2 linked regions of the Schizosaccharomyces pombe genome follow. Changing the gene in region 2 together with the main gene of any one other region gives a genetic interaction. Each region holds a gene or a part of one and is shown on either strand. Other genes may lie near its edges.

Region 1 (4,394 bases), 1.5 Mb from region 2:
AACTTAGGAACTGGCTGGGTTTTCCAAAATTTGAAATCTTCGTAAGTCTTTGGGGGAGCTGCAGCTTCTTCTTTTTCTATCAAAGATCTCAACGCCAATCGGTCTAGCAGTTCACGAATTCCTCCTTCAGAAAATGAGCTGTCTTGCTGTGAATTTTTTGTATTTTTATTATTTTCGTTGTCCATCGTAAATAATCCAAAAATATTAAAAATAAAGCAAAGTTGGCCGTAAAGTCAAGTTTGGTTCTAGCTTGGATATTTCCAGATGGACTAGGTCTACTAACGACAAAACGTCGGCTGCATAATAGAAGCGTTTCTCGCCAATGAACCTTCAAAATTTAATTTTACTACTTAATAAAGAGGAATAAAATAAAAAAAATAACTATACGTGAGAAACGCTTCAGCATATTGTTGTCTCCTTAGCGAACCAAATTTGATGATAAAAAAAATTAGTTAAAGTCCTTTATTAATTTTATCTTTAAGGGGAGATGGATTACTTAATGAGTAGCAGACGTTTGCGCTTGAAGCTGCTGCATTAATAGAAAACTCAAAATACAAATCATTACATAAGATTCCATGATCGTTTAAAAAATGAACAATAGATGAAATAGTAAACCTATTTATTTTGTCTCCATATTTTTATACTCGATAAAATGTATGAGTTGAACTTGGCACTTTTTTCGAGCGTTTGTTTGTTTACATGATCTTGGTATTTGCATTATTCGCATGAAGTCGAATCTCATCCTTTAACCATTTGTAACTGGAGTGGGATCCGAAGGAAAATCAATCTTTCTCTCTTTTTTTTGGAGCTTTGCTTGTTATTTCATTAACAAGTTTATGCTAAGCTTGGCTGAGTGCTTTGAATTAGGATCAAATGGTTGAATCGTCTGATGAAAATGATCAAGCTTCTAGCTTTGCTAGCACAGAAGACCTAAAAGAACTACGGTTTGTAAGTTAATTAAATTGTTGAAATTTAAAGGTTAACATTTTAGGTATTTTGGTTTTCTGTTTTAATCCCTATTTTCTTTATTGCCTTGATCATTATAAAAAGATATCATAGTTGTACTTACCAAAAGAACAGACTGCTAAGATCCATTTTCTGCTGCATGTCTATTGATGATGAGGAAGAGTTGGAAACAGATATGTACGATCTTCCAATAGTCGAGCCTTCTATCACTTTACCAAAATATTCTGCGAGCCTTCAAGAAAATGAACGGCTAGTTGGAATTGAAGGTGAGAGAGAAGGAATTGATGTTGTCTTGAATTTTTCTAAAGCTGGCGAAGGCGGTGTAAATCCATATCCATCCTTTGATACGCCTAACGCCAGAATACTTCAGCTTCGTCAGTTGGCGAAACTTAAAAAGCATGGACCTCGCATATCTTATCATGGAATAGGTATTGGTCGATGCAATGGGAATCGTGTCTTACCGCCATATCCAGAACCTGCTTTACTTCCTGAAGCTCCCAATACTCGTGAAGCATCTAACAACACTTACTTATACGGGTTTTCTAACAACTTTATAAATATCTCTCGAACTCTTAATCTTCGTTATCCTTCTGCCTCAGCGAGCATCTCAGATTCATTACCTCCACCCTATCAAGTGTTGTCTGTTCCATCCGTTACATCTACACATGCTTTTTCTAACAATGCAAATCAAACCTGAGTATCTCCTTACTTCACCGGTTCAGGAATGCCATAGTTATTATTTATGCTAGCAGTGTTTTCTCTTCTCTGGAATTTATAGCAATTCTAATACTAATTATTGTTATACTTCTATTTCATGTTTATATAAGTATATGCTATAAGCATTTATATGGCATTAGACTGTTTAATTCTACTATGCATGATTGATATCCAAAAGCATTTTCGCGTAAACGTACCAAAATGACCTTAACCACAACACATACCCAGATACGGCTAGACTTAGAAAATCACTATTGAATTTCTTAATTCAAACAAACATCCTTATTCTAATAATCATTTAAATTATAAAATTTATGAAATGCTTACATCTAAACACGAATTTAGCTTATTCTTAAACACTCCCGCTATTAACAGCAAATCCGAGAAAGAGGTTATTTCTGAAGGGCCGTTAACAACTTCTAATGAAATAGATGTTACATTTTCTGAGTCTTTCTCTAGTCATTTAATAAATCTTAGACGCGTCCCATCCGTTAATTCGATCATTGAGCAAGAGAAGAAAGGACTCACAAAAATATCCCCTTCTATTCTGAATCAAAACATTGCTTATAAGGAAAAGCGTCAGCAACTTTTTTCTGTACTTTATGAAGTGCGTCAGCATTGCTATTTTTCGAGATTCTAACGAAACAGGAAACTGTCGGCTACGTATCTATGGACACGTTGTGCATTGCAATTTCTCTGTTGGATCGTTGTTTCACCGTTAAACCAACTATTCCAACTACCAGTTTTAAAATTTATGCTATCGGCTGTCTGTTCATTGCATTTAAACTTACAAGTGACTACTCAGTTGGTATGTTCGCGATAAAAACTGTTATTAATTTCTTTTGTAGCGAAGAAGTCTTTTTGCGAGAATTTGGCTCCAAGTTTGTCTACAAAAAACTTAGAGGTTTGTAGTGATTTACAGCTCGTTGAAACATGTTTCTTTAACAAATTAATAGAAATACGAGAAAATTGTTCTTGCTTTATTAAACTTCGATATATATGTCATTTCTCTTCCTTCTGTTGAGTCTTTTTTAACACCGTTGATCTTCCAACATGTATTCTTTAAATCCTTGCCTTCTGAAAGCTGTGATCAAATGATGGTTGAATGGCAGTATTTACTGGTTGAGGTAATGAAGGGTTAGTAGATTGATAATATATTAATGGATAGCACGCTAATCTGAACAGATTGTCAATTTATCGAATATAGGCCGACGGAAATTTTATGCGCTTCGTTCTGGGTCTTGCTTGAAATTATTTGGCCTTCTGCGTTTGATTTCAAACCTTTTCAACATTTGTGTTCTTTGCCCACAAATGGTTCTGCAGATGAAACTTATATTAAACACTCAAATCGGTTTCACGATTTGATTATATCTATCCAGCGTATAGCGGATATGTTAGCATAAAGCTTCAAACCCATCTATTAACCCAAATTCTAATGAACTTAATTATTAAAACTAAGCTATTTAATCAAAACTCTAAACCCTTTTTAATAACGCCCATAAACCTAATTAACTAAAACAATAATAAATTACCAATGAATAGCCAACATTTTCTTTATTTCCTCTTAGTAGATTTATGACAGCCCAACAATTTCTCCATTTTCACATATATCAATGTTTAAATAGGCAGGCGCAGTCGGTAAACCAGGAATTGTTTGGATTTCAGCAGCTAGCGGATAAATGAAGCCAGCGCCAGCATTCAAACGCATATCTCTAATAGGAACTGTAAAATTTTTTGGAACATTGCGAAATTCGGGATTATGCGAAAGAGAATATTGGGTTTTCGCCATGCAAATTGGTAAGTTACCGAACCCTTGTTTGATAAACGTATTTATTCGTTCCTTAGCTAGAGAACTAAATTCAACACCGTTTGCTCCATACATTTCTTTTGCAATCACATTTACTTTATCTTCAATTGAAGTCTCGCTATCATACAAAAGCCTAAACTTCGAATTGGATGACTGATCACAAGCCGTCATTACGGACTTGGCCAATTCAATAGCTCCTTTGCCGCCTTGGGCCCAATGATCCGAAGGTACAGCATCCACAGCTCCAGCTTGTAGCGCTGCCTCGCGTATTATTTCATGCTCCTTAGAACTATCAGTCTTATAACTGTTGATGGCGACAACAACAGGAATATTGAATTTATGACAATTTTGAATGTGTTTTACCATGTTGGAACATCCATTCTTTACAAGGTCTAGATTTTCAACAAGATATTCCTCAGGAATTGGGGCACCAGGTTTTAACTTGGGACCGCCTCCATGTAACTTAAGCGCTTTAACAGTGGTAACCAAAACAACGGTGTTAGGTACAAGTTTTGAGTATCTACATTTGATGTTAAAGAATTTTTCCATTCCCATGTCAGACGCAAATCCTGCTTCGGTAACGACATAGCCGGCATCTTCGGGTCTGTCAAAGCTTTCTGTACCAGCCAATTTTAAAGCAATTTTATCAGCGATAATAGAAGACGCGCCAATGCTAATGTTTGCAAAAGGTCCTGCGTGAACAAACGCTGGTGTTCCTTCCAAAGTTTGCATCAAGTTAGGTTTGATAGCGTCTTTAAGCAAAACGGTCAATGCTCCAGAAACTCCAAGGTCGCCAGCAGTAATAGCATTTCCGTATTTGTCGTTGGCTATAACCATACGGGATAAACGAGAATGCATGTCGTTTAAATCACATGAAAGAGCCAGAATTGACATGCATTCACTG
Region 2 (5,241 bases):
ATTTTATTCTACATCCATTCTACTCGACTATTCTCTTTTTCTTTCCTTTGTTTATCAAATGCTCTCATCTTCACACCCTTACATCCTTTTACTCTTTACTCTCTTCTCTCTTCTCTTCTCTCATTCCTAAGCACTCCTTGCATCTCGCTCCACTACGAAAACTAAACTTATCGCACTTTGTTTCTCCCCTCTGTGCTATGTTTCCCCACGTTGGCTTGCGCTTATTGCAAACGACGCAATGATGACGAGCCCTTGGAGACAGGGAAACCGGGGAAATGCTACGTCGATGATGTTTGCAAATCAATGTGTTTGCCAATGTTCAGCAACAACAATTCCGTCTGCATACTCTCTGAAACATTTCAAATGTATTTAACTCAACAAATGTTACAACCCAAACTTTTTCTATTTACGCCCAAATACGTTGATAAGCATCTTTCAAAAGAACTGCTCGTTTCATCAAATGACTGCTCCAAGGATTCCTATATTCATGAGCTGATATGGCTATTCATAGTATCATAGAGCATATTATCAGATAAGACAAATTAGGTTACAGATTTTTGGTAGCATAGACATCTAGATACACACAACAACAAGATATAGATAGGACCACTAGGTAAAAATTATTATTAATAAAATATATACCCTTACTAAAAAAAAAAAACAAATAAATAAAAATAAAATAAATTTAAAATAATAATAACAATAATAATATTTCTTTTTTTTATTTTCTTTATTTCTTTTTTTTTTTAATTTAATTTTGCTTTTTATTCTTTTTTTCTTGTTCAATTTAGGTACTTTTCTTTCCTTGTCTTGTTCATCTTTTATTTTCTTTTACTGTATTCTAAGGCACTCCTTTAATAAAAGGTACTTGGTAGCGATTCCTCTTCTCCTTCTCACAAACCTTTATTAGCGACATCTACCGCACTACCAACCTCTCGACATCAACTTGACCCTTCGCTTCTCTATTCCGTCCCACCCTCCCTCGCTTTTTACAAACCTTCTTACTTAGCGATACACCTTAATTCGAGCTTCTTTCACAAAAGTCCATATCAAGTCGTTCGTCTCCCTTTTCACTTCTATAACCCCAGTCTTTACTCTCTCGTGTAATTTTTTTTCTCCTACTCTTACTCTTCTACTTTTACTACTACTCTTCTTTTTTCTCTATTTTCCTACACTTCCCTCTCTCTCTCTCTCTCTCTCTCTCTCTCTCATCCTCTTCATATCTATCTTTCATTAAATTTCCTACATCTTACTTCTTCTTCTCTCTCTTTTCCCTCCTTTTTCTCTTCCCCCCCCCCCTCAACTACCATCCATCGCCATCAAGTTCGTATTTGTCGCAATCCAGTCATGCACTTGTCGACTAATCCCATGGAAATACGGTGTTGCATACTTTGAATAGATCGCATAGTGGTGATCAAACGGATTTTCTAGACATTTCAACAGTAGATGCACATACGAAACTAAACTCATATAATCATATCCCGTAATTTGAGGCAACGTATTGCTCCAGTTTTCCTCTTGCAATATAGATTGGCCGGTGTAGGCGCATGTCGCTACCAATTGACTCGCCCTTAGACTTGAAAATCTTTGTTCCACTAGCGATACTTCAAGAAAATATTTTATCATTATTCGCAGCTGCGACTCCCATTTGTTGACAATCGTCAATAGCCTCAAAAACGATACTGGCCCCGGCCACCCAAGTTGATATTGAAGAACCATAAGCATATACTTTTCCATTCCGCAAATATCTTCTCCTATCCATTCTCCCTCCAACACTATTTCCAAATCTTTCACTGTAGGAGGATGGATCTCTTCATACTTGCAAGCAATAAACAGCGCCGTTGCGCCGCAAAGTTTCATTTTCGATGCTGGCACATTTTGTAGAGATAGAAATCTATCCAATACATTGATCGATAGGAATAAGGATTCTGGAAGCAGGTTTATACATGTATGCACCCCCACAATCCAATTGATCACACTAGCCCTCATCTCTGTAACATAATATGGTTGAGCCGACATATGTCGGTAATCAGGCATAAATCGAATCTAAAAAATGTTAATAAATAAAAACTTCTTCAACTCCTTCATCTTCTTGTTTTCCTTCCCCCTTTTCTTCCCATTTTTTTCATACCTCCAATTTCTCCATGTGCGATAGGATTTCTTTTGCGTATTCCACAGACACCGATTCATCTGCTGAATATCTCATCTGTAATTCCTCCTCTTCATCCTCCTCTGCACAATTGTCATTTGATTCTTCAATCGCTATGCCAAATTCCGAAACACTGCAATTAGGACTTTGAACGTTACTGATCGAGCAAACATCCAAATCTACCAAAAGCTGTTTCTCCGTAAAGACTATCTCTTCCTCTAAAGGTGACGCTAAAAAACTATCATAGTCCTTTTGTATTTGCGACTCTTCAATTGAACTAATTCCATGCCAGCTCTGTGACGGAAAATGTTTATCTGATGGGCTACACCCATTTTGAAGGGATATTTCTCGTACCTGTGCGTTCACCCAGCCTTTTACGTTCAATGATTTGGAAACATAATTGCTTATTTCTTGAAGCGCAACTCTTTTGTTGTTAGAGTTCATGTTTGAATTGGTTCTCGTTGCTGAAACGGTCGCTTTAATTGTTTCAACCAAGCTCTTAGGTAGGCAAGTATCAGTCAATACAATTGCTTTTACTCTTTAATGATTGGGAATCAAATCAAACCGTTTTCTTGAACTTTTTGTTGTAAAATGGCAGTATGCTATTAGCAGGTTCTGTTTGTTTACAGTGAGTCAACAAAAAGTTGATGGTGAAAATGTTTGTTTATTTCCCATATACATATACCAACGGTCGTAACCTTAAAGTAAAACACAACCCAAAACTAAACTTTACCTCTACTATATCAGAATTCATGCTGCTTAAAAATTCCAAACAATGCCCGAATTCATGAAATAGGTTTTTGTGTTGATCGAAACGTTATCAAAGTAAAGCAAGGATTTTGATCAAAAACTCTTTTATTATTTGTATTGATGAGTTTTTACAGTCGCTCATCGGTTGTAAACATTCCATTATTTTACCGTTTTCGAATCATTGAAAACTGAACATAAGAAATCTTGCTACAATTAAGCTTTTTTTCTATTAGGTAACCATCAAACAAGCTTAAAAAAAATAATTAATTTACGCCTTCTCGTAAGTTATTATAATCAAACAAATTGAAATGTAATTGAAAAGAATCTCCTATTCTAAGATTTTTCTACAAACTTGCTTCGAAAGTTTCTTCTGCACTTATACAATGCTATAAGGAATATTCCTTTCTTCTAATTTTGATCGATTTTCGCAAAGTAGGATTGCCTGATACAATGTCAAGGATCTGATTTAATTTCCTTAAAAAAAAAAAAAAGAAAGAAAATGAAAACTCAACAACTTTAAATCATATTACAGTTCCCATATTTACTTGATATCCCAAGTTTACTACGACTTAACTTCTACCACTATCCTTTGAGAAGCACATGGATTCGAAGAAATAGCATATGGAAGTTTAAAAGTTAACGGGTCTCCGAAATCCATTCAAAAGTTTAATTCCATAAAAACAATCTAACATGCTAAAATTTCATCGTAATGTGAAGCCTCAATTTGGTGCATTTGCAAGGTATAGTAGTTTGGGAAAACACAACTCTCGTAAACGGGTTGGAATCATCCGCTTAGCATATGGGTTGACAGGAATCGGCTTGGTTGGATTAGCTGGCTTCGCTTGGGCTCAAGATCGTCACGAGAAAACGTATCAGAAGAAAGGCGTTCAGGTGGAGGGACCATGGCAATTTTATGTCCTTACCACTTTACCATTACGAACTCTCTCGCGTTGGTGGGGATATGTTAATCGTATTGAGATTCCTCTATGGATGAGAGTGCCAGCGTTTGGCCTTTATTCTAAAATATTTGGTTGCAACTTGACAGAAGCTGACCCCGATGATGTCCGCCAATACAAAAATCTGGCCGAGTTTTTCACCAGAAAGTTGAAACCTGGAGCGCGCGTAATTGATCCCGATGCCCCAATTGTTATTCCTGCGGATGGGAAAATCTTGAATTATGGTGTTATTGAAGGAGGTCAGCTTGAACAAGTAAAAGGTATAACCTATTCCCTTGATGCACTATTGGGCGATGAGAAGTTAGCTCGTTTGAAGCGCAGCCATGCTATTCCCTCTCCCGATCATATCCCTCACATTCGTCAAGAGGAGTTTGCCAAGTTAAATGGTATACATTACAGTTTACAAGATTTAATGGGTCATGATCATGGTGAACGACCAAGCCATGTCAAAGATGCTAGCGCACAACATATTGATTTGTTAAGCTCAACAAAAGTGGCAGCCAAATCACAGTTTACGTTGTTCGGATCAAGAGAAACGAATTGTTTATACTACGCAGTTATTTACTTGGCACCAGGTGATTACCATCGATTTCATTCGCCGACTGATTGGGTCGTAGAACGAAGAAGGCATTTTTCCGGAGAGCTGTTTAGCGTTTCTCCTTTTATGGCTCGTCGACTCGGAAATCTTTTCATCTTGAACGAAAGAGTAGCTTTGATGGGGAGATACAAATACGGGTTTATGAGTATGATACCCGTCGGTGCTACAAATGTTGGCAGTATCCGAATTAAATTTGATAAAGATTTATGTACGAATCAGTTTGGAAAACTAGGCCCAGTAGGTACTTTTGATGAGGCTGTATACACCTCATCTTCTTCTATTTTGCATGGTCACCCATTACTTCGTGGAGATGAGGTCGGAAATTTTGAGCTTGGTAGTACAGTGGTATTGGTGTTTGAAGCACCTGCGGATTTTGAATTTTTGGTCAAACAAGGGCAGAAAGTTCGTGTGGGATTACCTTTGGGTCGAGTTGTCCCATCTTCCCATTAATAAAAGAGATGAACACTCATATTTTAGATTGTGGATTTCCCATATGTTTAATTTTATTTTCATTGTCTTTTTGTTGAAATCTACAAACTTAAGGGATTTTATCTTGGAATTTCTTTGTTTCAATATAGCAAGCAATGCATATTGGTATAAACTTGTTGTATTAAAAGGACGGACTGGATAAAACGAGAAGAAATGAATCTATTCGTCAACGTAATTATGATAATCCAATGTAATATTAAGTTAGGAAAAATACACAAATTAAAATATGTACATGCACTAAATTACAACCACTCCACCTTGAAGTAGTCGTACTCAACGGCATCTCAGATTTTTATAGT

What was found.
Region 1: of rem1 (region 2) and crs1, changing one enhances a phenotype caused by changing the other (phenotypic enhancement), as found in Schizosaccharomyces pombe (one study listed by BioGRID).

Annotation. Positions count from the first base shown.
Region 1 is NC_003423.3:3,451,015-3,455,408, reverse strand, and holds crs1 (cyclin Crs1), read left to right. Parts: upstream 1-1,892; 5' UTR 1,893-2,002; coding exon 2,003-2,290; intron 2,291-2,331; coding exon 2,332-2,491; intron 2,492-2,531; coding exon 2,532-2,587; intron 2,588-2,639; coding exon 2,640-2,820; exon of another isoform or gene 2,821-2,868; coding exon 2,869-3,086; downstream 3,087-4,394. Other genes in the region: myr1 (N-myristoyltransferase 1), read right to left, coding at 1-185; protein mug110, read left to right, coding at 874-948, 992-1,663; ade9 (trifunctional formate-tetrahydrofolate ligase/methenyltetrahydrofolate cyclohydrolase/methylenetetrahydrofolate dehydrogenase), read right to left, coding at 3,257-4,394. UniProt on the Schizosaccharomyces pombe protein: Has a role in meiotic chromosome segregation.
Region 2 is NC_003423.3:1,952,120-1,957,360, forward strand, and holds rem1 (meiosis specific cyclin Rem1), read right to left. Parts: upstream 2,594-5,241; coding exon 2,132-2,593; exon of another isoform or gene 2,047-2,131; coding exon 1,300-2,046; downstream 1-1,299. Other genes in the region: SPOM_SPBC16E9.20 (uncharacterized protein), read left to right, coding at 1-242; phosphatidylserine decarboxylase Psd1, read left to right, coding at 3,590-4,903. UniProt on the Schizosaccharomyces pombe protein: Required for pre-meiotic DNA synthesis and S phase progression. Regulates levels of meiotic intragenic recombination.